Elephas maximus indicus: one gene and its partners. The protein of the gene in region 1 purifies or fractionates together with the protein of each later gene. This does not show direct contact. Links are inferred from orthologs where the notes say so. Each region holds a gene or a part of one and is shown on either strand. Other genes may lie near its edges. The genes, in order: MEPCE, PRPF3, SNRPN and SNRPD3.

Region 1 (7,325 bases):
CCCAGGCTGGAAGCAGGGCAAAACGAGTCAACCACTGTCTTGGGAAAGAGAACTGCAGTCAGGAGAAAGGACCCCAGGTTAGAGACCCCACCTCTCCCAGGTTACAGGCAGGGAGAGACACCCAGTGGAGGCACTCACTCGCTAATTCAGACCCTTCTCGAGGATCTGGTTCTCCTAGTGAGGAGTTAATGCACTTAAGACCCTCTTACCGTGACGAAGACAACATTGTTGGGGAAGACTGATGTGTCCGCTCCATCCAGGGGCACTTGGGGTGCAGCAATGGGACCTCGGCTGGCTGTCAGCGAGGCTGGGAAGCAGCTTCTCTTCCGGATGGTGGTGGTCCCTTCCCCACCCTCTGCCCCTGGGTCCCCCTCGGGAGTCTGGGGTGGGAGACGCAGCTCCTCAGATAGGTAGTGTCGGATGTTCTGGCGGGCAGAGTGGATCAGCCGAGCATCGATATCCAGGCCCACCATGCGTGATGGGCCCCACTTGCAGGCAATGCTCAGGGTCAGATGGCCCACATTGCAGCCCAGATCTAGGACGTCCCGGCCCCGAAACCACTCAGGCTTCAACACCCGAAGGCGACCATCCTCACAGGAAGGATTGCGGTACCCATAGTATTTGCAATAATTCCCATACTGGAACTTGCGCTGTTGCTTTTTGAAGCCTGCTGCAGGGAGAGGGTGGTGGTGGTAGCGGCCTCCCCCACTCCCTCGGCCCTTTTCTTTGGGACCCTGGCCTCCACCCCTGGCCCCTGCCTCCGACTTGCTGGAAGTCCTGCGACGTTTGCGATGTCGAGAGGAGGAAGACGGGGGTGCAGGGGTAACTGAGGCAGCTGGAGGGACTGAAAGGGAGCCTGTGGAACCCTGTAGGGCAGTTGGAAGGGGAGACACCACCTCATCCCTGCAGTTGATGGCTGTGTTGAGTTCATAGGGCTGCGGGGCATCCCGGCTCTGGCCTCTATGCCGTTGCTGCTGCTGCTGCTGCTGCTGCTGCTGCTGCGTGGCGCCCTCCCCATGAAGTGAAGGAGTGAGGGGGGCTGGGGGAAGCACGGAGGAGTGGCTATCATTTCCTCCAGATGCCTGCTGCTGCTGATGGTGCTGTCCCCGGTGTCTATGCCGCTTCCGACCAGTCTTGAGTGGTGAGGCAAGAACTACTTGGGCCTCATCAGTGCAAGTATTGAGACTGAGGGGGTCAGTAATATCTTTGGGGATGAGGATCTCCACTGGATCACGCCCCTTGGCCGGAAGTGGGGATGACTTAGGGGTCTCTGCATTGAGTGCGCGGCTCACTTCCTCATCCAGAAGACTATTCAGGTTCAGTGGATCAAAGATATTGCCCCCCAGTAGGAAGTTGGAGGGTAACACAGAGTCACAGTCCGAATTAACTCGCCTGCGCCTCTTGAAGGCCGGATGTTTGAAGCCTCCGCCACCTCCCCCCACATTACAACTATTTCTTCTCTTGCCTCCACCCCCCCCAGGGGGCCTGTGGGGCTGGTAGCCATTACGAGGCCGAGGAGGGGCAGGGGTACACAGCTCTGGCCCGCCCCCTCCCCGTCGCTCCTCCCCCACGTCCAAGTGAGCGGTCCGCCCGTGGGGATCCGACAAGCGGGCCTCCCCGTGAGACTGTGCCTGGGGGCCGCCCCCTCGCTGCTGCTGCTGCTGCGACTGGCCCGCTCGAGGGGCGGATGCAGCTCCGGGGCTCTCCCTGCCAACCCCTAAAGCCGGGGCCCCCGCCGACTGTACGCGGGGGCCCGGCCCGCGTTCTGTCCGGCCGCGGAGGTGCCCGGAGGCGGCCTCTCGGTGCGATTGCACCGTGGGGCCGCCCCCTCCGCTCGACTCATCTTTGAGCGGCGGCGGCGGGGCCGGCACCAGAAACGGCTCCTTCTCCGCTGCCATCTCGATCATTTCCTCCCCTTACTCCGTCCCAGCCGAGGGTAACGAGGGGGGATCAGGGGGCTTCACCCCCCTTCCTAGACCCTGCTCCCTTCCCCCCTTTCCCGAGTGCGCACGCAGCTCTGCTCTTCTCGCCTAGTCTCGCTCCCTGCTCGCCCGCGAGACCAAAACAAGAAGCCCGCGAGACCCGAACTCGAGAAACCAACCGCGCTTGCGCCGACCCCTTTCTCCTCCACCACTACCACCTAATCGCGAGCGCGCACTACTTAAGCGCGTTCCCCTGGCCCCAGAATCACGCATGCGCACACCGCCACCACCCTGGTTGCGCGCGCATCGGAGTACGAACCAACTTAACGGCTCCAGGGAGTTTAAATATAGTCTCTCCCTTAGCCCCCCAAAAACCCACCGCCCCAAGCTGACACCCTACTTCCCTTCGTGGCTATGTCCGTCCCTACTGATATCCTTTGTCTCTGCCGCGCGATCCCACCCACCGTAGGCGGGGGCCGGGGAGCTGGTGTGAAAAGGTCTCCTTCACACACGACCCTTGTTCCTGAGGAATGAGTCTCAGCGGTCTCCGCCCGGCGCTCAACCCAACAACCTCCCCACCCCGCCTCCTTCCTCCCCTAGTGAGAAGCGCCTGCGCACACCCTTTTGGGCTTGCGCGGGTAGAAGCAGCACGTGCTGGAGACGACACCCCGCCCTCCGTCCTATGGGCGGGGACTGTTACGTCGCTTCCTCAGGTTTGGGACACGCAACGTGCGTCAGCGCAGCTCGGAAAGGCGTGGCTTCTTAAGAAAAGGGGCGGGCTCATGAATTATTCATAACGAATTGCCCCCTTAGCCCATCCCCTTAGGGCTTCAGAGGGAGCCGAGGAGTGAACCTAAAGGTAGAGGAAGGGAAGGATCGGAGTGTACTGATCGCCTTCCTACGAACTGTTCTCAGTAATATGCAATAGATCATTTTAACTCACCCCCCTCCCCCGAAAATACTCTCTGCTGGACTGAAAAACAACACTAAAAAAGCCAAGGTTTTCCAACTTCCTCCTGTGCCGAAATGGCTGAGTGGTTCTCGCTCCTCCGCGTTCCCCCAATCGCGATCACCTAGGTACACCCCGCCCTCCTCTCCGCCTCCACACCCACAGTCCGGACACCAACGCCCCCGCCCGCCATCCGACGCCTGCGCACGAGCCCACCAGCCCGACGCCCACCACAGCCACCAATAGCAGTACACCCACCAATAGCAGTACACCCACCAATAGCAGTACACCCACCAACACCACCTCGCACGCAGTCCTTCCCAAACGCACGCTGCGGCTTCGCGCCGCCTTATATAAAAACGTGTGTGGGCGGAGAAGAGGAATCGGCCTGCTTTGGGGCCCCTTGTCTCGGCCAATGAGGGAAAGTTATTTGACGCTCTTTCCACAGGGTGATAGGTGGCCCGTTTTCTTTCCCAACAGAGTGCTTGGGGATGCAGGTCTTATGGCTGAGAAGAGGCGGAGAGTGGGGCTAAGGATAGGCTGAAAGTGTTAAAATAAGGTCGTGAAGGGGCCTAACAGGAAGAATAGGCATCAGGAAAAGCAAAGAAGAAGGACAAGGCAGAGTGGGAAGGAAAGATAATAGAAGAAAGAAGTGTTTCAGGAACAATCAGGCGCTGCTACCGCCTCCTAAAACACGGGTGAAGCAGTGAGCATTATGGGACTTGTAGTTTTACAGATTGGAAAATGGCGGCAATAATTCGCGCGCAAGCGCAGAAGCCGTTTTCAGCTGCGCATGCGCTTCGGCCTCGTGAGCACGCCGCTGGGGGGGTGGAGCTTGTGCGCGTCCTCGCGCCTTTTCTTCGTGGCGGGAAAACTGGATCCAGGTTGTAGGGGCTTGCATAATCGCTGCAGGTGCTCACTCTACTGCTTGCTTTTAGGTGCTCCTCGCTCTAGAAGGTATTAGACTCTTCTTAGGTTGCAGATGCAGTTGCTAGGCGCGGGCGATCCCAGTACCTGTTGTCTGAGGAGAAGCTGTCTCTTCAGGGCGACAACCAGCTCTTACCCCTCCGCTTTAGAATCTAACTTGAACCTCACCCTCAACACAAACAAAAATGCCACAGTGTAATGGGGGGCAACGACGATCTGAGCGGGAATAAGAATCCTGATACCTCAGCAGTAGGGTTAGCTGAGGAGAAATTCCCTCCTGGTAGGATTCTTGATGTGGAAGAGAGGCTAGAAAGCCACTATACAGTACTTTCTGAGGAGAGTTAAGGATATTTAACTGTGCGATATGTCAGGTCTTCATTGCTGTCCCTGAGAGAAATTGGTGAGGCGAGAGAGCAAAAATACAGATCCTTCAAAGTTCTTGTCTTTGGTTTCTCAAGGGGGAATTAGGCATTTTCGGTTCCAAACCTTGACACCCTCTGAGGGGCAATGGTGTGGGGATCTGGGAGTTTTACGGGGATGTGCTCCTTTAAGTACAACAATGCTAGTTTGAGGTCGGTACCAGTTTGGGAAATGTGTGCGTCTGTGGTAGGAAGAATATAAAAGATATCAGCAGTCCCCGAAAGATTCTTTTGGTGATAAGTGGCCATGGTAAGTGGCCATGTCTGTGCTCTCTTGCACTCTCTGAATCAGGAGGTTTTAGTTCACCATTAATTTCTTTATAAGATTCTGTACAAAGTTTAGTTCAGGCAGGTACTATTAGATGCGACAGTAAATACCTTGTTACATGTATAATGGTCAGTAAGGGTAGCTGGAATCTTTATTGTTTCTTTTTCTTTCTTGTTAAAAAGTTTTGTTTCAGATCATGCCTGTTGAGCACAAAAAGAGATAAAAACCAGTACTAGTTATCCAGGCATGAAAATAAGCAGGAGTACACATGCCATTAGACATACAGGCTGAAGAAAATTAGACTCAGGCTTAAAGAAGCTTTAAATATAGGCTTTTCTTTTTTTTTTTTTTAATGTCTTTTAGGCTCTGGAGTGTGTGTTAGAGGACAACTCTAAGGTTTACCTTTGTTCTTTTAGACCCAGGATTCCAGACATAATATAAGGAGGGAACAGTTTTATTGTTTGTAAATTTTGAGCACATTCTAAATGGGGTAGAGGAGGATTAAAGTTTTTTGAGAAATGTTGCAAGACTGAATTATTTAGCTAGAGCAATTCTCAAACTTTTTGGTCTCAGAACCTTTTTGTCCTCCTAAAAATTGTGGAGGACTCCAGAAAGCTTTTGTTTATATGGTTTATAACTATTCGTATTGAAATACTAGAAATTAAAATAGAAAATTTAAAAATATTTACTTAATAATTAATTTAAAAATAACAATCATAAGCCCATTAACCAAAAAGGAACCAAACCTGTTGCTATCGAGTTGATTCTGACTCATAGCGACCCTATAGGACAGAGTAGTGCTGCCCCATAGGGTTTCCAAGGAGCAACTGCTGGATTCGAACTGCTGGCCTTTTGGTTAGCTGCCTGGGGTTGTAACCACTGCACCACCAGGGCTCCGTAAACCCATTACATGTTACCATAATTAACATTTTTAATGAAAAATACATTTTCCAAAACAAAAGAAAATTTAGTTTGAAGAATGGCATTGTTTTATATTTTTGCAAATCTCTTTTGTGTCTGCCTTATTAGAAGACAGCTGGATTCTCATGTTTCCGTATTCAACCTGACATCTTGTTTTGGTTGAAGTATATGAGAAAATCCAACCTAACACAGATATATAACTGGAAAAGGGAGGAGTCTCCCAGGGGTCTTTGGACCGTACTTTGAGAACCGCCACGCTAGGTGATTTCATTTAGAAATGAATGTGATAATTTTTAGTGTTCTAAGTGAAAGAAAGCTGTTTCTAGTTTTTGGAGAGCCTCATTCACCCTTCTTTTATTATTTCTTTGTAAGTTCTTTCCCTCTGCTTATTCACCCTCTTTTATATGTCGAGTGGGTGAGATTGTGTTTATGGAACTATCCTGGTTCTTTTACTTTCTTACATAAAGCCTTGTTGAATTTTTTTGTTTCCTTACCTTTTCATCTAAGGTGAGAAAACAAATTAAAACCTCAAATGTTATTCCGGAGTCTAGTGCCTACAGTCATTTTGTATATTTGTCAACTGTCTATTTTTTCTCTCTCTCTCTATTAGCTTTTAATATTTGTTATTGTGGAAGAATTCGTCTGAAACAGAGGAACAGTGTCAGAAAGTGACTCTCTGGCTTTCCATTCTCTTTGGATCAGGTTAGAGCTTTTCTTTAAAAGTAATGTTCTTCATCATACCCCCAATCTAGATTAAGGGGTAGTGCAAATGGTTAATGCAGTAAGCTGCTAACCAAAAAGTTGGAAATTTGAATCCACCCCGAGGTGCCTTGGAAGAAAGGCCTGGCAATTACTTCTGGAAAACCAGCCATTGGAAACCCTATGGAACACAGTTCTACTCTGATACACATGGGGTCGCTGTGAGTTAGAATCAACTCAAGGACAACTTTTTTTTTTTTTTTCGGTATAAGAAACAAAATGTTTATTGCAAGGATTCAGAAGAATCTCACAGAGACCAAAAGAAAGAGACTGAAGTGTAGTTGACCTCAAGAGAGCAGAGACCAGGGACTGGGAGCCAAAAGTGTACATTCACTCTTATTTCCTCTCATTCTGTCCCTCTTCTGTCTCTCATCCTCTCTTCCCGCATGCTCCATTCTCCTTTGCAGTTTGTCTTTCTGCCTGTTCACTTACACGTGCATGTATGGCTCCATCTCTTCTGACCCTGCATGATCTACTTGACCACACTGCTCTTCACCTGTTGCCTGGAGTTCCCAACAATAATAACTCTAGTATTCAATTTTGCAAATTCTAAATTCCCAACAAAGTACTCTAATTAGTTGTACTCATGTTTTCAATGAGTTGCCCTTGGGTCAGGTGTAGACACCCCATCTGATCAGGTAAGGCCACATGGGAGTGAGGTCACATGGAATCTAACAGATGACCAAAAGAAACTGAAATGCCATTAACATTTCTTGTACAGTGAGAAGAAGGATTAGAGAGAGAATAGAGATGAAATAAAAACAGCAAACTAGCTGATAAAATAAATCTGCCTGTAGTCTCTGTACAGCCAACCCTCTATAGATTTTCTAAATCTAAGAAATTGGATGTCCTCAAGGGCAACTTGTTATTATTTTTTTAATTATACATCACTTCTTATAGATTTACTACATCTTATTAATTCAACAACGATCCATAATTTTATCTAGTTCGTTGGGGCTCCAGAAGCACACTTTAGCCTAGATAGGTCTGTACAGGATTAGATAAGATTTTGAGCCTAAATATTGGAAAGTTTTGCATTTTAGGTTGATTAAAATACTCTTTTTTTATTTTACTTAAAGAATTTAAAATTTAAAAAGTCATTTTTTGAAGTGGTAATGTATGTATGTTATAAAATGCCAAAGATACTTAGGGGACACAGT
Region 2 (7,110 bases), on another chromosome or scaffold:
ATCTCAGTGGGAATTCTGCACCAGACAATTCTCTCTCATGTTCTACCCGGTCTCTGACAGCTGACTTGATCAGAGTAATCCCTCAGCTAAGAAACAAATACTCTCATTCTGGGTGTACTCTCTTTTTCATCTCTATTCTACTTTTTAGCTCAGCAGAGAAAACACTATCATAAAGGACTCTTGCAGGACAAAAAAAAACTTGGTTTGGCACTTTGTTTCTGAAAATCACCCGAGTAATCAAGATGCCTTTGTTTTCCAAAACAGCCTGGCAAGCTTCACACCTGGCAAACTAACTTCAGGAAGGGAGGAGGCACTGATGCAGTGATGCATATTAACTGATTAGATGATCACAACTATGCATTAAGACCCATGCATATTCATTGAGTCCCCCTGGGACTAGGGGACCCAGGACCTTGGAGTGCACTCTTTGGAGTCTCCCAGATTGGTGAGAATGTCCATGAACTGGAGAAGGTGACATGTCCCTGGGGACTATATTAAGACCCATGCATATTCATTGAGTCCCCCTGGGACTAGGGGACCCAGGACCTTGGAGTGCACTCTTTGGAGTCTCCCAGATTGGTGAGAATGTCCATGAACTGGAGAAGGTGACATGTCCCTGGGGACTATATAGGCCCTGCGCCAGGACCCTTCCCAGACCTTTACTGATGTGTCTCTTTGCTTGTATCCTTTCTGGTTCTAATAAATGGGTAACTGTAAGTATAGGTGATAGTCTCTGTGAACTTTGTGAGTTGTTATACAGAATTAATAAACCCACAGGGGCAAGGAGTCAGTCTGTGTAGTCCCAGCTTTGGGTGGCTGGTATTCATGGAAAGGCTGCATGGGCAATTGATGAAAAAGAGTAGAGCTCTTCTAGCTTGTGACCTAGTCCCAGTGGACTAGACAGAGAAAGAGGGAGGCATACTGGTCTGAAGTGCAGGGAACTGTGCAGACTCCTGAGCCTACGGCTGGTCCTCTGTGACCTGGCCTTAGGTGTCCAGGGATGTTTTGACTGGCTCAGGGTGGCTGGGGACGGGGTCTGATCTAAGCCTGAGTGGTCAGAGTCAGAGAGAGGAAGTGTCGTCTGAAGTAGCTGGTCATGAGTAAGGTTTGCCCACCTTGCCCCATTTATAATAAAGTTCGTAGAGTCGGAGTTGTTGCAGCTCTCCACAACAAATCTTTAACTTATTAATGTAAGTTAGTTTATTTTTAAACCATCATTCATGTTTACATTTCGGTCTTCTACCTAATCTCAAAACTCCTCATGAACATAGACAAAATTTTATTTCTGATTCTTCCCATTGCGCTTAGAAAACAGTGAATATACTACACTGACCTCAATTTCCAAGCTAACCTCCTCCCAGCAGCACCACGCATCAGGGTCTGACCTGGACGTTCAAGATGTTTTAAGATGTCTTTTCTCTTAAAAGATACAGTCTGAATAACTTCTGCATCCTTGGTAGATTTACCTTCTATAAGATCTCTAGCCAAACAGTGAACTGGTATAACCAAAATAAGTTAGTAGATTACAGTCATGAAACTAAGAGAGAAAGGTTGTATAAAAGCAGAGTATGTGTTTCAGTAACAAGTTAAATGAATAATTCCATGGTGGCTCTATTCTCTCACAATGAGATAGCAGTATAGCCTATCAACATCTACACGTTGTTGTTGTTAGGTGCCCTCCAGTCGATTTTGACTCATGTGACAGAGAACAGCCCCATAGGGTTTTCTAGGCTATAATCTTTACAGAAGCAGACCTCCAGGTCTTTCTCCCAAGGAGCCACTGGGCGGCGGGGGGGGGGGGGGGGGTTGGAACTGCCAACCTTCCAGTTAGCCAGGTGCTTAACCTTTGTGTCACCAGGGCTCCTTCATCTACATATTAATTGTCCATTAAAAAAAAAAAAAAGATTGGAGGCATACCAAGGTATCACAAAGGGTACATATCTTTGGGTGTGAGAGTGAAGAAAAAAGCTCAGCAGGACAGAAAGAAACTGAACAGCTGGGATGCCAAACCCCACATTTACCAGTCCATTAGCACGTGGGCAAATTAGTTAATTCCTCTGAGCATTAGTTCACTCATCTTACAAAATAAAGACAATTGCCATATTTCCATCATACTTAATTCATTCAATAGATATTTCCTGAGCAACTTCTAAGTGCCAAGCAGTGTACTGGGCACTGAGCATACAGCAGTGAACAAAACACGTAAGAATTTTCACCTTAACGGAGCTTACGTTCCACTACAACTGAATCATAGGCTAGAAAGCAGAAGCAATTTGAAAGCTCCAAGCAGTAAGTGAGGTACCGTTATTATTAGAAGAAACGCACGGCCAAGCACTATAATAACAAATGTATTCAAGTTCAACCCAATCCTCCATAAAATGATGTGCAAACGAAACAGCTAGTAGACAAAAATAAAAATTTCAAAGAGTACCTGGCTTTACCACTAGACAAATATACATTAACTACGTGTGTGGGGGTAGGGTTTGGGGTGTGGAAGGAAGAAGGAAGAATGATTCCAGCATGAGCAGGTAGCAGATTCCAATCTTCTGAAGGAATTCCTTACTCTGTCCTCTTCTTTGCTACAATCGGAGTTTCCCCTGAAATCCTCATTCTTCTGTTTTTAGTCTTTCCCCACCTCTTTTGGCGTAAACTCCAACCGACCCACTATCACACCTAGTTATACCCAAAGTCTTCAGCTCAGAGCTGGTCTCCCCACCCCGTCCCCTTCTCGCCCCCGCCCTTTGCCTCTCAACAATCCCACTGCAACCTCGTCTCCCACACAACCTGTGCTTCTCTCAGCCTCTTTCCCGCTGAGCCCCCTAACCCGGTCCTACTCTTGGGCTGAGCCCTGACCCCAGTCGCTCGGACCGGAGAATACTCTGTCTGGGCCCGGGGCCACTACTCACCTCACAAACTTCAGTCCCTGAGACGGAGCCCGAACGTTACACCGGAACCGGAAACCCTCCGGCCGCCGCACGACTTGCCGTCGCTACCGCCACGGCCGCCGCCACGCCGCGGTCCCCGACATGTGACGAGGGTGGGCCGGGCCGCCGATATGCGCAGCCGTAGTTGCCACTTTGCCGGCGGCAGGGCGCATGCGTGGCGAGTGCCAGTTCCTCGCCTTCGGTTTCCCTTGCTAAAGGATTCGGATATTTATCTGTTCACTAGATTATTGAGAAGAAGTTAGTTCCCTGAAGCGGAAATGGGACTGCTAGCAGTTTTCTTCGTGTGGAGTGTAAGTGCGCTAAGCTAAAGTTAACTGAAAGAGGGACTTCTGCGTTTGGCTCAAACACGGCCTTTCCGGTAGAAGGTAAACCCTCTGAGTAAGTTGGGATCACTGGCATTCGCTACCCGTCCTTAGCTTTTCCTCCTAATTTACAGTCGTGCCAGAGATCACAGGGAAGAAACACGAGTATAGAAGGACTCGGCAGAATGTAGCCCTTTGTTTAATTAATTAATTAACAGAACATTCGTTGACCGCCTATTACTGTAAGTGGTGCCGGCACCCTCTGAGAGTCAGTAAATCAATGATTTAGGAGCACGGGCTCTAAGGGCAGACTGCCTGGATTTGTATTCCAGCTCTCCCACTCATTAGCTGTATGATATTAGTTACTTAAGTCCTCTATTTCCTCACCTATAAAATGGGATACCTTTAAAAAAAGAATTTCACCTCACAAATGAGTAAATGAGGGTAATACACTTAAAACAGTGGTTCTCACAGAGTTCAATAAATGGTAGCTACAAACATATGTACATGAAAAAAGATGAGTAGAGGACTCTGAAGAAGTAGCCCCCCTCCATGCCTTTCATTAACAAAACGAGTATCATTCGCTGGTAGTACGCAATTGGCTAATGTCTCTTTCTATAGATTTCCAATTGCCTCTGTAAGCATAGAGAGCGATAGTGGTTCAGTGGTAGAATTCCTGGGTTCAAATCTTGGCCAATGCACCTCATGCACAGTCACCACCGGTCTGTTATTGGAGGCTTGCATGTCACTAGATGCTGAACAGGGTTCAGTGGAGCTTCCAGACAAGACAGGCTAGGAAGGAAAGCCTGGGTACCTATCTCCAAAAGTCAGTCAGTGAAAGCTCTATGGATCACAACTATCTGACCGTGGGACGGCGCACCACCGGGAAGGGTTTAATTCCGTTGTGCGCGGTGTCATCATAAGTTGGGGGCCAACTCAACATCAGCTAATAGCAACAACACGTAAATGTATTAAAAAGAAAAAGAAAGCCATTGCCGTCATTTGATTCTGACTCATAGCAACCCTACAAGGCAGGGCAGAACTGTCTCATCGGGTTTCCAAGGAGAGGCTGGTGGATTTGAACTGCCAAACTTTTGGTTAGTAGCCGTAGCTCTTAACCACTGTGCCACCAGGGCTCCAAATGTATAATAAACATCTCAAACTCAGCATGACGATAATAAACTGAGTTTATCATCACTCCCCCCATTTAGGGGTACTCAAATGTAAACTCCACGAGGACAGGGATCTTTGTTTTCTTCACTGATACAGCCTAAGTGCCTGCAACACCACCTGGCACAATTAAATACTTAATGTTTGAATTAGAGGATCCCTGGGTGATGGAAACGGTTTGCTCTCAACTACTAACCTAGAGGTTGGCTGTTCAAACCCACCTAGCAGCACCAAGGAAGACTGGCCTGGCAATCTGCTTCCATAAAGATTACAACCAAGAAAACCCTATGGAGCAGTTCTACTCTGTAACACATGGGAGTCAACATGAGTCAAAAATCAAGTCAATAGCAGTGGGTTTGGGCTTTCTTGGTTTATTTAAAATCAAAGGCCAAATCTTTTTCAACACTTGGTCTTATAGGCCCCAGCACCTACTGGTCTATTTTTTGCCTAAAGGATGGAATTTCCTTCAGGACGGGAATTGTACCATGTCTTTTGAGTCCCAGGATCTATGATAGTGCCAGACCTTGTAAGTAGTCAATAAATAAGACCTGGCAGTACTGCTCTCTTCATTCTGTCAATAAGCTTGTATTCTTCCCCTTCTTCCAAATGAGGCTCTAAACCTACTGACCCTTTAAACCAATGACTCTAAAAGCACGTGTGGGAAAAGTGTAGTTTGAAAAAGTGTGTCTAGTATTATGACACAATCTCACATATGAGAAATGAAAATAACAATCTATTTCCAGATTCAAACTATAGAAATTAAAAGTCCATGATGCCTTCTTGGATGGTAGGCTCACCAGAAATTGCAGTTATTCTCTAGGAAGGTTATGATCAGAATTTCCCACAGGGCATGAAATCTTCATATCTATAGGCTGGTTTTTAAAAGTGAGAAATACCAAAACTAACCTTCCCTGATGGGGCAGCCTGGCTTTGAGTAACAAGCTGGGAGAGCTTGAACATGTTGCTCAACTTAGTCACACCAGCATCCTCATTGTATCTACAGCACCTAAAACCAATGTCTCACTCATAATACCCACTCAAAAAGTCTGTTAAATGGGCCAATGAGTTCCAACTTTGCCCAGTAGTTATACATTTTTAATTTTGTTTCAGTGTTTTTAACAGTCTGGGTTGAAGTCCCACAGGGAAATTTTTTTCTAGGAACTCACTTCCAATTTTTGGAATCAGATAGATTTAAATCCTTTGTTTCCCAGTTACTAGCTGTGATTCGTTGAGGCAATTATTTTCTGAGGCTGTTTCCTTAACTATAGAATAAGAATAATCATCTCTTTTCCCAAAGGGTATTGTGAGGATTAAAGGTATCATGAAACATTTAGTACAGTGCCTGGCACATGGTAAGCCTCAATAGATAACTGCAATTGTCATATATTCAAGAAATATTTATTGAGGATCTAAATGCTGGGCATTATACCAGGCAAAGGAAATACAGTGGTATAAAGGCAGACCCATATATATTACAGAAATAAACTCGAGATGCAAAAGGGAAAACAGCACCTGATAAAGGTACCAGGGAAGGCATCTCAGAGAATACCCAGTTTGAGAGCTGAAGAACAGAAGAGGAGAAAATAGCATGTGCTGTGATCCAGAAGTATGTCTGATGGGGCAAATGGCTACAGAAAAAGTATGATTCAGTGATGAGGAACCTTAAATGCCACAGTCTGGATTTTATCTTGAAAGCCATGCGGAACCAATTACCAGCTTAAGCAGGAAAGTGACAAGATCAGGGTTGCATTTTAGAATAATCATTCTGGCTAAACTATGAATGGACTGGAGCCAGGCAACACTGAGGCACCGAGACCAGTCAAATGACTGTAGTAATCCAGGAAAGTTATGATGGTAGCTAGTATTAGAGTTGTGGTACAAAGTTACAGAGACAGCTGGAAGAGATTACAAATAAACTGGTGTTGGTGATGACTGGGAGCCCTGGTGGTGCAGTAGTTAAGAGCTTGGTTGCTAACCAAAAGGTTGGTAGTTTGAATCCAGCTGCTCCTTGGAAACCCTGTGGGGCAGTTCTATTCTGTCCTATTGGGTTGCTATGATTTGGAATCAACTCAATGGCAATGAGTTTGGTTTGATGACTAGGTGAAGAGGAGGAAACAAGGATCTACTTTCTGGCTGGCACAACTGGGGGATTATTATTAATTGCTAACATTTGAGTTCTTACTATGTGCCAGATACTGTTTTAAGTCTTGACATGTATTATTTCATTTAACCCTCACAAGCCTGTAAATACCATTATCCCCTTTTACAGGAAAAACAAGGGTTTATGTTGAACAACATAATTACAAATCCAGATTTTTTTTTTTTTTTACTAAGCAAAAGATTATGTATGTAGGGTAGCTGCACATAGTGCACGCTCCAACATTTTCTTTTCAATTACCTACATTAACACATCATTCCTATAGGACCCTGTAGGACAGGCTACAACTGCCCCATAGGGTTTCCAAGAAGCAGCTGGTGGATTCAAACTGCTGACCTTTTGGTTAGCAGCCAAGCTCTTAACCACTGCACCACCAGGGCTTCTGTTAGTATATAAACCAAAACCCACTACTGTTGAGTCGATTCTGACTCATAGCGACCCTATAGGACAGAGTAGAGCTGCCTGATAGAGTTTCCAAGGAGCACCTGGTGGATTCGAACTGCTGACCTCTTGGTTAGCAGCCATAGCACTTAAC
Region 3 (6,834 bases), on another chromosome or scaffold:
ATGCCAGTCTGAAACAAAAGTTTACAACTTGAAACCAAATTCTCAATTGTCGTAATCTCTCACTCGTACACTGATTAACTTCACCCTGTTCCCATTCCACCTATCTCATTTTGGTTCTTTACTCAAAGGAAAAAATGGGCAAGTGCACCTTGGAGACATCTTGCAGATGCCTAGAACGTACATTATATTTGTCAAAACATGTATGTTTATGACCATAAAATGAGAAAGTAAATAAGCAACTGCTATGCTTATCTAGGTACTACACGGTGCGAAGAATAATTTATCATAAAACCCTAATCTCTAAATACAAAGAACTGACATCAAGTGCTAAGCACGTTTTAATTGACGAAGATGTGCTGTACTGTGCCTCTCTCATCTCCAATAAAGCAATGCTCTTCCACATGAAAGTTCCATCCTACCCTACATCTTACATCTTTGGGGGGTGGCCCCTCCACAGTCATGGAAACCAAGTTCTCCCCACGCAGCAACACCAGACCCAAAACCCGCTTTTCTTCACGCTCTGGCTGCTTTGCATTCTTTGGCCTACAAATCAGAAGCAAATTTTCGTGAAGTAAGTTAGTATCTCTAGCTCAAATTATTTTACATAACTTACATGTGTATCACAAAGTAAAAATTAAGACAATAACTGATGCCAAGAATCTTATTTAAACATAAGACAGTCACTGAGCTGTGATAAAATTAACACCTAGACTCAGCTGATATGCAAATACTAGGTACAGCAAGGTGAGTGCTGAAGCTCTTCTATTAAGCTTCAGCCCTTTAAAGAATGTTCTCTAGATATTACACTTCAGCAAAACTAATTTCTTCATTGTAAAATAAATGCAATGACACAGTAAGCCTTTTAAAACAGTCAAAACTGAAACCTAACTCTATATAATTTTAAGATGGGCAATAATTTCTAAATCATTTTTTTAACTAGGTAAATCTTATTGACATATCATGGAACTGAAATAATGAATAAGACAGTAATAGGCAAAAGAGGGCATACAAAATGGTAAGGAAGTACTTGGAATCAGAGACACCTGTGTATTCCTGAGCTTACCATTTACTGTGTAACTTTGGAAAATTAAATTCCTATCCTAGTTTCTTCAAATGTAAGCAGGAAAAATCAGATTAATGTCTACTGCATACATGTATGGGGTTTAAACCGCATTGTTTTTTTTTTTTGTGTAGGTAAAAGGAACCATTACAATTACAATGCCATTTAATAAATCCCATTAGGTATTACCAGAGAATAATGCAAGCTGAAGCATTAACTAGGTATAATTACTCCCACGACTTGGTCAGAAAGGAATGAAAAACAGAAACTGAGAATATGCCCGAAGCTCTCAAATACCTTCTTTGTTATTTATCAATATCATAAGGGTTTTTTAATGCTTTTTAGTATAAAGGTGGTTTAAACAAAAAAAGTAAAAATAAAACTGAGGCATCCACCATCCTAGCACTTCTGGAATGATCGGCCTTGGTACAGGAAGGAGACTGGAAATAAATGAAAGGGGGACGACAATGAAAATGTCATGAATTCTGTTCATTCAAATTTAACTGAGAAGAACTGTCCTCAACAAGCACAAGGAGTCAAACATCACTTTTCCTCATTATTTTAAAACCCAGGAAACCCTGGTGGTGTAGTGGTTAAGTGCTACAGCTGCTAACCAAAAGGTCAGCAGTTCGAATCCGCCAGGCGCTCCTTGGAAAGTCTTTTTGCAAATTAGAAATAGTTCTATGGCGATAAAAACTTTGAGACTGGGAGCCTCTACAGCTATTTGAAGATGACACCGAAGGGTTAGAAACTTTTTCCCTACCTCCTTCAACTACCCTCTATAATCCCTTACTCCTGCTCTAGCCTTGGCTTCCCACTGCCTCTACCTGCATATTCTTTACCCAAACAGGTCTTTCTTACTTGATCTTCCTGAACTCATCACAATCACAAAGGATTAAGTTCATATGCTTGTCAAAGGCCTTAAAGGTGCCAATGAAGATTCGGCCATCTTGCAGGATACATCTCATTCTATAGTCAATGTGCTGCAGCATCTTACTGCTCTTGCCCACGGTCTGCAAGGAGTAAAATGAGAGTCAATAATCAGCTTGTTCACAGCCTATTTTTCTATGCCACTTGGGTTTCTTTCCCACTCCTATACCAACCTGAAACTGACTTCTTTCGCTGACCAAATCCCTCCACCTTTCCCCAATTTCCTTCACACCTACTCAAGACAATAGTCTACATTTGAATCCAGTTCCCCTCTATAGCTCCATCATTCTAATCCCATTCCTTTCCCAAATCATGGCCAAACTTCACCCTCTCACAGACACTTGACCCTATCTCTTTTCTCTCCTCTCCAAGTTTTGTTTTTTGCTTCTGTTTTTACTATTAATAGGGTAGAGTAGTGGTTAAGAGCTTGGCTGCTAAACACAAGGTTGGCAGTTCAAATCCACCAGCCACTCCTTGGAAACTCTATGAGGGCAGTTGTACTCTGTCCTTATAGGGTTGCTGTGAGTCGGAATCAACTCTACACCAACAGGTACTAATAAGGTTAGGATACTGTATCTTTCTCCAGACTGCTTTCATCTATACTAACTGAGCCCCAAATTTCTCCATTTTCAAAGTAGATGTTACATATACTGTAATCTGACCTAACAGTCTACCTTCAAATGGTCTCTTACAATTATAATCACAACCAAAAACTCTTCTGTATTTTCTCACAGCAAAATGGTTTGCAATCCTTTTCACTACTACAACATGAACATCACACATTACTTATCTTCAGCCACTACCCTAATTCAGTGAGAATCCATTTCTACAAACTTCTGATTTTTAACATTCAGAACCCAAAATCAACCCACACTCTGGCAAACCCTTAGAGCAGTTTACCACCCCTCTCTCCTAATCTTCATCTTACCATGATTGCTGTTCCACCAAATCCAATGTCCTCACAGTAAAGTTTCTGGAACCTTAAGACCTAGGGGAAGGCTACAGATAAAGGTATGACGTGGTTCTCCTATAAACAATGCCAGCTGGGAAGAAGCTTCAAACAGCAGACGGAGCCTGCGGAGGAGAGCATGTTCAAGCTGCACCACCATCTACCATGTTTACAACAGGCAGATAATTTTGCATGAAAACCACAAAAGACATATTCAAAAATATTCCTACTCCCATGTTCCCACAACCACCAAGAAAAAATTCACTATTCCCTCATATTAACTATCACATTTGACAAAACTCATTTAATTTTATTTTGCCTAGAAATGTGCCAAAAATCAGCTTCATTATCCACTCCCAAAATTTACTATTTTCTCTTTCCATCCTTATTTAAGCTACTGATTCATTTTTTTCTCTGGTCTAAAATTAATACCGAGTCACCTCTACATCAACATCTTGATAATCAAGTTTCTCCATCCCAACTACCCCTAAGTTAGTTCAAACATTCACGGTTGGTTGGTTGGTTGTTTTGTTTTGTTTTGTTTTTTGGCCATACCACCTAATAACTCACTTAAATGTTCTCAATTGAAATGTTCCCTCACTCCCTACAGCTCCATCAAAATGATGTTAGCTAATCTTTATTTACCAAGAGCCAGGTTTATTACTACATACCTGCTTCAGACTTCCTACGTCAAAAGGGTGCAAACAACTAATTGTCGATATATCGGAATACGGCAACTTCCATAGTCACCAAAGAAACACACACTTTAACAATAAGCTATCCTTTTCCCTGTTACTCTAAAAATGCGCCTTCCATATACGGCTACGAAATCTAGGCTGAACTGGTTATAACAAAGCCTCAAGCTGTGACTTATTAAAAAAAAAAACCATAGACATACTTTTTAACAGAAGTTTAGGTTTATGCATAAAAGAAGCACAGCATTAGAAACAAAATCTGATATAACTACTTTTAACAAGGCAACCATTTCCAATAATATTATACCTTCATTGTTTTCAATACAGAAATACTAAAATCAAGAAAAAGTAAGCTGGTTATCTATGTCATGAATTGTACATGTGAACAGGACTGAAATGACAGCTGTTTTATTTTGCCACAATAAAGAAAAAAGAAACTGGTTACATATACAAGTTAAAATTAATTAAAGTGTGGTTACAAACTACAGAAACATCAAAACAATACAGAGAAATAATGCTTTGAGGACACTGTCACGTGGAGCTATATGGTAACAGAACAGAAGAGAATGTAGTATCAAAGTAAAAGTTCACTAATGGTGATGAGATGCAGGAAAGATGCTTTCCTTCTCATTTCCAAAATTTTACATCTATTAAATAAATTTTTATGACAACTCGGATTGCCTAAACAAATTCCTGATGTTGCTTCTTTTTGGAACATTTCCTGCAAGATGATCTGTCCATATCTTAACGCATGGTCTGACTAATCTCTATACACACCTCTTCTCCAATCAACCAGGCTTATATTCTCAAGAGTGTAAGAATTATGTCCTTCCAGACACTTCAATGCCTAGCACCCAGGAAGAATCCAATATTTGTATGAATTAACGTTTTACATGAACCTTATACTTAAACGAGTATACTAATCAGCAGCCTGAGGACCCTCAAATGCAGTATCTGACGCAAACTCGTTTAAAGCCTACAACATCTTTGTTCTGAATATTGCCTTAAAATTCTTTATAATGCAGAGTCCAAACACCACCACCTATATATAAAACTCAATCCTCCTTTTCTTCTTAAATACAGCACGTTTTTTTTTTAATTCTTCATTTTTATAACCCTGTATCTATTAAGTCCTGGGACCCTGAGCAAACCTAGAGACAAAGTAATAGATGAGTGGTTGTCTGGTGCTGGGGGTGGAAATGGGGAATGGCTGAAAATAGGCATGATGGATCTTAATGAAGTGATGGAAATAGTCTAAAATTACCCTGTGGCAATTGGTGCCCAAAGATGTAAATTAGCTAACAAGTCTAGATTTATACATACTTCTGTGAAATATCTAGAATAGGCAAAAGCAGAGACAAAAGTTTATCAATGATTACCAGAAGTATGAGTGAGGGAGGATTGGGGCATTATTGCTTAAGCGGTACTGAGTTTCTGTTTGGAGTGAGGCAAAACATTTTATGGATAGTGGTGATGGCTGCACAACATGGTGAATAAAATTTATGTCACTGACATATATTTAATAATGATTAAAATAGCAAATTTTGTTATATATATTTTATCACAATAATATCATACAAACAGTTGGTAATTTTATGGTATTGAAAGCTATGTATCAAAATGTTTTAAAGGGTTCAATAAGGTCAATAACTTAAAATAATGTACAAAGTTCAAACTATTACTTTCATATGCCACTGATGGGGGAAAAAAATCAGCACAACCACCGAGACACTATTCCTTGACCACGCTCCCTTGCCGCCAACAATGGAGACATACTACCAGCGTGCCACAGAAAAGTTATTGAAAGAAACCAGTAGAGCTGGATATAGCTTTTCTAAGACTAAATTTGAAAGACAAAAAAAAAAAGTAACCACAGAAACCTTTAAGGTTTTTATTGAGTAAGAGGAAACCCTGGTGGCGTAGTGGTTAACTGCTATGGCTGCTAACCAAGAGGTCGGTAGTTCGAATCCACCAGGTGCTCCTTGGAAACTCTATCGGGCAGTTCTACTCTGTCCTATAGGGTCACTATGAGTCGGAATCGACTCGACGGCAGTGGGTTTTATTGAGTAAGAAAAAGTAAACTGAGGCACTTGACTAAAGTAAAATGGCTGCTTTAGCGTTCAGGGTCCTACTCCATCTTGCCTTTAAGATATGCAAACCCCTAACTTATTCTTTAAGGCCTATAACTAAATGTAAACTAAAGAAACCTTTTTCTTTTCCCCCTTTTCTCTGTGGTTAGGAAACCCTGGTGGTGTAGTGGTTAAGAGCTACAGCTGCTAACCAGAAGGCCAGCAGTTTGAATCTACCAGGCATTCCTTGGAAACCGTATGGAGCAGTTCTACTCTGCCTTATAGGGTCACTATGAGTTGGAATCTACTCGACAGCAATGGGTTTATCAAGACCCTTCCTGAAACAATGTCTCAGGAAGAAGACCTTGATGCTGACTCTCTTCTGGGTCTCCTAGGCAACTACTGACAAGAAAAATTTCACTTAAGCCAGGTGTTTCTAGTAGAAAAAGGACCTGTAAACCTCCACAGCCCCCACTTTCAGTAAACCCACCTTGCGTTAATCTAAGTTTGTAATGTCCAATCAAAATAGTGCACCTCAAGTTCTTTGTTCTCATCCTTTAAAAGTTCTCTGCAGCTTCACTGTTTTGGAAGTATTTGTTCACTCTGTAAAATCAGACGTTTTATCCAGGCCAGACTGTTAATGAACCACCAATAAATCTCCTTTCTTCAACAGAGTAAGTGTTTACTACGCTTAGACATAAAACAGCACCCGAACAGGCTCGGAGGCATCACCTTTTGTAATCTCCTGGGACATCACCAAATCAGACCTCTGTGCCACAGGGGTATCTTTGTGCTGTTCCATTTTTCTGGGGTCCTGACATTGTCACTCCAGGTAAATAGCCTCTGGAGCTGAACTCAGCCTTTTTGCATTGAGTTTCTGAAGAATTATGATTGGTTTTCTATCTTCTGCTGTCTGAAATTGATCAAACACGTAATAAAGATGCACTGATAATTACTAGTGATTGTAACTGAAAAAGTTGAAAACAAAGAAGTACTGGTAGTTGGAGAACTGGCCTCGGTGACAGAGATCTCATGATACACTTTTACAAGAATGAATTATTCATTGCAAATACCTTTATTCAACAACAAAAATGGTGACAATACATGTGGACCTCACTGAATGGAATACTC
Region 4 (7,348 bases), on another chromosome or scaffold:
GAGGTGGAGAGGCAGCACACCAGCTGCCGCACACACAGCTCATCGGGTCCTGACAACAGGCCATGGGCTCAGGCTTATTCTTGTGACAGCCCTGAGATGCTCAGATCTCTCTTTGAGGGAGAACAGGCTGTGAGGAGTGCACGGAGCTGATGGCCTCTGGGTGTCACACCTTTGAGACCCACCACTGCATAAACCCCAAGGCTACTCTCCCCAGACTGCTCCTACGGCAGGGGTACGAGAGCCAGGCCATTTCTGTCCCATGCCAGACTCCTCAAATGAGTCATCTATGCTTGGCTATGAATCATCCTCAGAGCTACAATGTAGCCCCAGGCTCTTCCTACTCGATCCTTTCTTCCCTCTATTCTTTCACCAGTGTTAGGCCTGCACGACAGACTGTGGCTCTCTTGCCCACTCCTGCTTCCTCTCTTTTCTCCTGTCACTTCCTCCAATAAATCTCTTGCATATCTAATTGTACCTTGGTGTCTGTGCCTCAGATGGCCCGAAATAACATCACCCCTGTTTTACAGATGAAGAAACTGAGGTAATTAATATACCTGAGGTTATACAATTAGGATTCAAACCCATATTTCTTTGATTTCAAAGTCCATGCTCTTAACCGGCTGTTTTATACTTCGTAAAATGACTCTAATATCACGATTATGAGAAAAAGGGCAAATTGTGTCATGGGAATTGAACCAGATCAGGAGGCTATGCCATCATATACTAATGGAGTGACATTTAGTAGACGAATCCTATTTTCATAGATGACAAAACTATTACCAAACCTGCCTACCTCACAATAACTGATGCAATAATCAAATGGGACCCCTTCTCCAAGAAGATGGCAAGTAAATACAGCATGTGAGTAGGAGATGCTACTAACTGTAACATGTCATGCCTTAATAATGGCCTTGAACCTGAAAGGAATAGTGTCATTTATCTCAAAAAGCCCCCAAAATATGGGAGAAAATGATTATGGAATGGAGAAAACAAAGGACAAGTAAATATTCCAAATTTCCAAACACCATTTCTGCCTCGAGACAGTAAGTCTCTTGCTCATGTCCACATCCTGAGTACCTGTAAGAGGGCCTGGTACTCATAAGGCACTCAGTAATAACTGTTGAAAGAGACCAACTTCAAGAAGGCGCTCTAGTCACCACAGTTTTGTCCTCCAACACAGGCTCACATTATCCCCTTCAGTCTCATATGCAAAGCAAGGTACCTGGCAGTTCATGTTGTCCTCTGCCTCGATGAGCTTCCCCCGATATACCTCACCGGTGTTCGTCTCACATGTCACAATGTGGCCCTCAGCCTCATGCAGAACCTTAATCGGCACACCAATAGACATCTTGGCAGGAAGAAAACTCTGCAGTGAGAGAGACAACAGTTAGTTCATCTTTCAGAACCAGAACAGGCATATAGCATGCACATGCCTCCTTCAGGGCCTAAAAACCAAAAACACCAAACCCAGTGCCATCGAGTCGATTCCGACTCATAGCGACCCTACAGAACAGAGTAGAACTGCCCCATAGGGTTTCCAAGGAGCGTCTGGCAGGTTCAAACTGCCAACCCTTTGGTTAGCAGCCGTAGCACTTAACCACTACACCACCAGGGTCTGGCACTCCATAAAACTTAGCTGTATTTCCTGAGCTATTGAAAAAGGTGTTTAGCTCCTTTGGAAAAAACTATCTGGCAAACAGTGCAAGATGAGGGGTAGGGTGAAAAGTGGGGCTGGGCAGAAAAGGCTAAGGGGAATGAAGAGAGTGCCTCCCGTCTCCCTCCTCACTACCAGATCGCTTTATCTTCTCCAAATGACCATTAGCCAATATTACAGGAGGGAGGGGAGTGAATGCATGTACTGTACAAACGTACCTGCCAACTCACTGCTGTGGGCGACTGCACTTTGAGAACCTACGATACAGACCCAAGCTGCCCAATACAGTGGCCACAGTCCACATGTAGCTACTTAGAACTTTAAAAAGATGAAATACGACTAAAATTTCAGTTCCTCAGTCACATTAGCAATACTTCAAGTGCTCAAAACGCCACAGGTGCCTAGTGGTTACCACAGTGGACAACGCAGACCAAAAGATCCACCAACAAATTTAGGAGGAAGTTATGCTTTTAAGTCAATCTATTTAGTGTCCCATGGCACCCCATTTACATCACCACTGAAGCTAAAAAGAAAATATCGAAGAGTTCACAAAGTGACATGCTATAAGCAAAAAGGTTTATCTTATAGAAAAAAGCCAACCAGGGCAAGCACCTGACTGGACCTATTAAAAGAAAAAAGCATCAAACATTTTTAATCTGCAATGAACAAAGGCTGAAGACTAGAACAGAAAGGGATTCCAGGAGACTCAACGCTACCCCGGAAAGGGACCATGAAGTTGGAAAAGTTGGTTTCCTTTGGTGAGAATCCCTGAGTTCTAGCTTTAGGGGTTTGGATTTTATGCTGAAGACAGAGAGAACCACTGCAGAATCATGCGAAGAAATGACCCAATGAACACGTAGCAGCATTTAAAACTTCTGCAACAGCGTGGAAAGCAGGAGATGATCCGAAGTGAAAAAACCTTGAAAAGGAAGCTCCAAACAAGATTTGGGGTAAAGGAGGTAATCACTCAGAAACGATTCCAGTATTATTTTCTGGATACTGAAAAAAAAAAACAATGACATGGAGAGGTGTACAAAAAGGATAAATATGTAGTTTTGGAAGGAGCCAATAAACCCACTTCCAGGCGCGAGTGAGGTGACGCTACTGCCCCGGGCTTCTCCCTCTCCTCCCTCCCAGGGGCCCGCAGAACTTCAAGGCAGCGCGTCCTTCCCCAGCCCCGGCCCCTCACGGGAGCCTCGGCCTCCCGTCACCCGTCCCCGGCCTCTCCTCACCGGCTGCGGCCTCCTCTTCCACTTCTTCCGTGGACAAGCGACTTCAGCAGCACCGAAAGCGTGAGCGAGCGAATGGCGGTCCCGCGCTCCCAGAAGACCCCGCGTTCCCAGAATGCCGCGCGCGAGGCCAGCCCCCTTCCTTTCTCCGGTGGTGGGCGCTGTCTCGCCTCGGCTGCCTCCTCACCCAACCGGATGGGAAACGCGGGCTGTGGCACTATAGTTCCGGCCCCGAAAAAGCGTGCTGATGACAGGGCCTGGGTGCCGCCGGAAACACCGATACTCGGGCCGGCAAGGGGAAAGGGGAGCTCGCGCTTCCAGGCACCCCACACCAAGGCCGAGTTGGACGGCAAGGCGGAGATGCGGGGCCTGGGCTCTCGGATCGGGGGCGGCAGGCTGTGGGACTAAGCGCCAGGACCTGCCCTCGCAAGTTAGCCGTTGGAACCCGGCACCGCCCGGTAAGGAGCGCCCCGAGCGAGGCGAGGTATCCATTATATGGACAGGGAAACTGAGGTATAGAGTAGTCGGAGTAGGGTTGGGTCTCCTGGAGACCCGGCGGAACAAGGGGCAGGCCAGGGATTATACCTGAGGGAGGCCCACAGGGGCGGAGCCTGACTTAAGGGAGAGCGCCAGCCTTCGGGGCGGGGCTCCAAGAAAGGGGTGGGGCTTCCGGGGATCCGCGGGGACGGGCCTGTGCGTCGGCGCAAGGGCTAGGGAAAGGGGCGGGGTCAAGAGAAGGCGAGACAGCGAATGGCCGGGGCAGGCTTCGATCAGGCGGCTGGGGAACGGAAGGGACTGGGCCTCCAAGCCGGGGCCCAGGTGGGGGCGGGGCGTCCGGGGCCGCTGCCAGGCAGGGCTGGGGCGGGGCTCGGGGCCGCGGACCGTCGCCTTCTGTCCCCTCCGCGGACCAGACGCGCCGCCGCCGCGCTCCCGCCCCAGCCCGAGCGGTAGCCTGCGCCAGGTCGGGGCCATGGGCGCCCCGCGCCGCCCGGGTCATGAGGACGGAGGCGGAGGCAGCGGGACCGCCGCTCGAACCCGGTCAGTGCCTCCCCAGGGCCTAACCCTGGCCCCGGGGGACGAGGGTCCGGCCGCGCGACCTTGGGCGGACTGCCGCCTGGGCAGCGCTCTGGAGTTCGGACGGGACGGGGCCAGCTGGACACCCCGCCCCAGCCCCACTTGCCAGTCGGGGTTTCATTGTCCTCCCGGAGCTGAGGCCCCTGTCGCCCGGCCGTGGGGCGGGGTGGGGCCGGTCCCGGCTGTGAGGCGGGGCGCCACCTTGCCTAGAAGCGGGAAGTCCAGCCGGAGACGCGTGGAAGATGTGTCCCCTCGGGGAACTGTGGAGGACGCTGAGGCTCAGAGAAGGGCAGGGGACTGGGCGGGAGCACAGAGCGAGTGCGCCCCTTCTCTTCCCCTTCTCAGACTGTGGTCAGCTCTTTTCTTGCTACATGTCTTCACCCTTGGTTCCTTCTGCCCTAAGGGGGCCTTTTGGGGAAGCAGAGGCCACTACTGGTGGGGCAGTGCCGCGGCCTGAGTTTGCTTGTCTGAGAAGGGGATAGTGGGGGAGTGCGGTGGTTCCTGCTCTGCTGAGAAGAGGTGCCAACTCAGGGAGAGGCCAAAGCATATGGGACTGGCCCTGAGCTGTCATGGATGGTGTCCTCACACGAGGGAGGGGTCGCCTTTGTTATTGCAGGGTGGAGCAGGGGTCTGATGCTGCCGCAGAGTGTAGGCCCTGCTCTCCAGTTAGCTCAGCTACGCTCTTGGGCAGGACATTGCCTTTCCTGAGCCTGAGCGAGTCCCGGCTCATATTTATAGGGGGTTTCCTATGAGGTGGGAACTGTGCTGAGTGGTGTATGTGCAGTACCTCGTTAATCCTCATGATGACCTCATGAAGGAGGCTACTGCTGCTGTTATTCCCAGTTTTACAGATGAGCAGACTGAGGCTGAGAGGTGGTGAGCACCCAGGGCCACTGAGCGCCCTCCCTTCTCTGATGACAGCTGCCAGCTGATGCCAGGGCCCTCCAAGCAGGCCCAGCTCTTGGGGTGTTCCTTGGTGCCATGTATTAACATCTGGTAGTGGCTGTGGGCTTGAAGGGCTGAAGCTGTTATCAGGACAAAAACCAAGGTCTTGCCTGCCCTTATCATCCTTCCACCCACCACACGCAGAAAATCACCTCCAGCTTTCTATAGAGTGGCCTGCCTGGGCCAAGGCTGGGGACAGCCACCTGGGGTTTTGGCCCTTTGGGGCCTCAGGATCAAGGGTTCTGGAGCTCAGGGCATGAGGAGGAGGGGTAGCTAAGACTCCCAGGGCCCTAGAGAATGCTGCCAAGCATGGCCACAGGGGAGGTCTGGCCACAGATGGCCTAGCTGGTGTGGCCAGAGCTGGTGCCAACCAAAGTAGGGAGGCAGCCTTAAGCAGAGGGCAGTGGTCTGGAAGCCTGGGGGCAGGAAATCATTGCAGTGACAAGCAGCCCCAGGCATCTCAGGAAAATGCCTTCTCTTCCCCAAGTATGGAGAACCCTGGTGGTGTAGTGGTTAAGTGCTACGGCTCCTAACCAACAGGTCAGCAGTTCGAATCTGCCAGGTGCTCCTTGGAAACTGTATGGGGCAGTTCTACTCTGTTCTATAGGGTCGCTATGAGTCAGAATTGACTCGATGACAGTGGGTTTGGTTTGGTTTTGGTTTTCCCCAAGTATGTCTGAACACCTGTTCGGGGCAGAGGTTCCCTGCCTGCCACTGAGGTGTTCTCAGGCTGTTGGCTGGCGAAGGTGGGTGTGACCTCAGGTACTCTACACTGAGGCCTGGAGGGGATCGGAATCAGAGTATCCAGATGTTCAAAGATGGGAGGAACGGTGCAGACTAAGGCACCCTTGAGTGCAAAGGCTAGGCATAAACAGCCTGTGCAGAGAAAAACAGGTGGTGTGTGGCCACAGCGAGGGGTGCTTGAGAAGGGAGGCACCTTCCTTCCTCCATGATTGTACAGCACCCTATATAGAGCTTGCACCCTCCCCTCAGCCCATGTGGGGCATACTTATTTTAGAATATGAGTCTTCAGAGGCAGGGCTTAGTCTTAATCACCCGTGTGTCCCCAGAGCCTGACACACAGCGAGTGCTTAATAAGTTCATTTCTTCCAACAGATATTGAGTTACTCCTAAGCATCAGGTACTGTTACTGTCGTTAATGGCAACCCCATGTGTCACAGAGTAGAACCACTCCATAGAATTTTCGTGGCTGTAATCTACACCAGGGAACCCTGGTGGTGTAGTGGTTAAGTGCTACGGCTGCTGACTAAAATGTTGGCAGTTCGAATCCACCAGGTGCTCCTTGGAAACTCTATGGGGCAGTTCTTACTCTGTCCTACAGAGTTGCTATGAGTCGGAATCAACTCAACGGCAGTGGGCTTGGTTTTGGATTTTTAATCTTCACCGAAGCAGATTGCCAGGTCTTTCTTCTACAGTACTGCTGGGTGGGTTCAAACCACCAACTTTTCTGCTAGCAGGATAGCACAAACCATTTCCGCCACCCAGGGATCTTAAGCATCGGATGCCAGGTACTGGGAATAACAGTGAACAAGATGAGGTGAGGTATTTTCCCTCAGCAACCATACAGTCTAGTGGGGAGACAGATAATAGTTTTTTTTTTTTTTTTAGTTTCGTTTGATAAGTACCATGTGAAACAAAGAGGATGCTATGAAGGAGGGTCCCCCCTTTGCCCTCAAAAGGTATAGTCAGGAAAAGCTGCTCAGAGGAGACTTTGAACTGGGACCTGATGACAAGCAGTAGCAGCCTTGAGAACAGCCGGGGGAAGAGAGTTCTAGGCTAGGGCACCCTGCATGTGCAAAGACCCTGGGCAGGATGAAGCTTGATGGGTTCACAGAGTAACTGCAGCAGGGTGAATGAGGCTGGTGGGGCCTGGGTGGGCAGGGCCACAGGAAGAGGAGAGGACTCTAAGAGCATTGGGAAACTGCATGGGATTCCCCAGGCAGCTGTGTGTGGAGACAGAGTTGGGGCTGGGGGAGGAATTTGGGGTGAAGGACAGGCAGGAATCAGGCAGGACTAAATCCGTGGAAGGAGAAGGAGGCAAGCATGTGAGAACCTCAGGCAGAGGCCTGGGCTCCTTTCAAAGGCACCTGGGGTAGACGTGGAGCTGCTGGGGTGCAATCAGTATATGCACTTCACTGCTAACCAAAAGGTTGGAGGTTCGAATCCACCCAGAGGTGCCTCAGAAGGGCTGGTAATCGACTTCTGAAAAATCAGTCACTGAAAAGCCCATGGGCTCAACGCACCAGGCCCTAGCTGGGGGTAGGGTCAGGGCAGCACCCGTAAAGGGCTTTACACATATTCCTGCCTGGGTGCTCACAGCACTCTATGGGCTGGGGTCTGTGGTGGCCGTTTCACAGAGTAGGCAGGTCAGGCGGCTCAGCAAGGGGGCGGTGTGTGGCAGTTTGGCCTCCATGCCCTGCTGCAG

The links.
Region 2: the proteins of MEPCE (region 1) and PRPF3 purify together in Homo sapiens (affinity purification with mass spectrometry; 4 studies listed by BioGRID and IntAct, counting the BioPlex papers as one, with this or other methods). This does not show direct contact. The link is inferred for Elephas maximus indicus from reciprocal best matches to the Homo sapiens genes MEPCE and PRPF3.
Region 3: the proteins of MEPCE (region 1) and SNRPN purify together in Homo sapiens (affinity purification with mass spectrometry; 3 studies listed by BioGRID and IntAct, counting the BioPlex papers as one, with this or other methods). This does not show direct contact. The link is inferred for Elephas maximus indicus from reciprocal best matches to the Homo sapiens genes MEPCE and SNRPN.
Region 4: the proteins of MEPCE (region 1) and SNRPD3 purify together in Homo sapiens (affinity purification with mass spectrometry; 3 studies listed by BioGRID and IntAct, with this or other methods). This does not show direct contact. The link is inferred for Elephas maximus indicus from reciprocal best matches to the Homo sapiens genes MEPCE and SNRPD3.

The regions. Positions count from the first base shown.
Region 1 is NC_064830.1:91,844,860-91,852,184, reverse strand, and holds the start of MEPCE (7SK snRNA methylphosphate capping enzyme), read right to left. Parts: upstream 3,007-7,325; 5' UTR 1,908-3,006; coding exon 210-1,907; intron 1-209. UniProt on the Homo sapiens protein: S-adenosyl-L-methionine-dependent methyltransferase that adds a methylphosphate cap at the 5'-end of 7SK snRNA (7SK RNA), leading to stabilize it.
Region 2 is NC_064821.1:184,451,462-184,458,571, reverse strand, and holds the start of PRPF3 (U4/U6 small nuclear ribonucleoprotein Prp3), read right to left. Parts: upstream 3,013-7,110; 5' UTR 2,907-3,012; intron 1-2,906. UniProt on the Homo sapiens protein: Plays a role in pre-mRNA splicing as component of the U4/U6-U5 tri-snRNP complex that is involved in spliceosome assembly, and as component of the precatalytic spliceosome (spliceosome B complex).
Region 3 is NC_064831.1:99,699,302-99,706,135, reverse strand, and holds the start of SNRPN (small nuclear ribonucleoprotein-associated protein N), read right to left. Parts: upstream 3,011-6,834; 5' UTR 2,922-3,010; coding exon 2,919-2,921; intron 2,074-2,918; coding exon 1,922-2,073; intron 544-1,921; coding exon 432-543; intron 9-431; coding exon 1-8.
Region 4 is NC_064840.1:23,012,575-23,019,922, forward strand, and holds the start of SNRPD3 (small nuclear ribonucleoprotein Sm D3), read right to left. Parts: upstream 3,014-7,348; 5' UTR 2,887-3,013; intron 1,367-2,886; 5' UTR 1,349-1,366; coding exon 1,223-1,348; intron 1-1,222. Other genes in the region: protein GUCD1, read left to right, coding at 3,131-3,341. UniProt on the Homo sapiens protein: Plays a role in pre-mRNA splicing as a core component of the spliceosomal U1, U2, U4 and U5 small nuclear ribonucleoproteins (snRNPs), the building blocks of the spliceosome.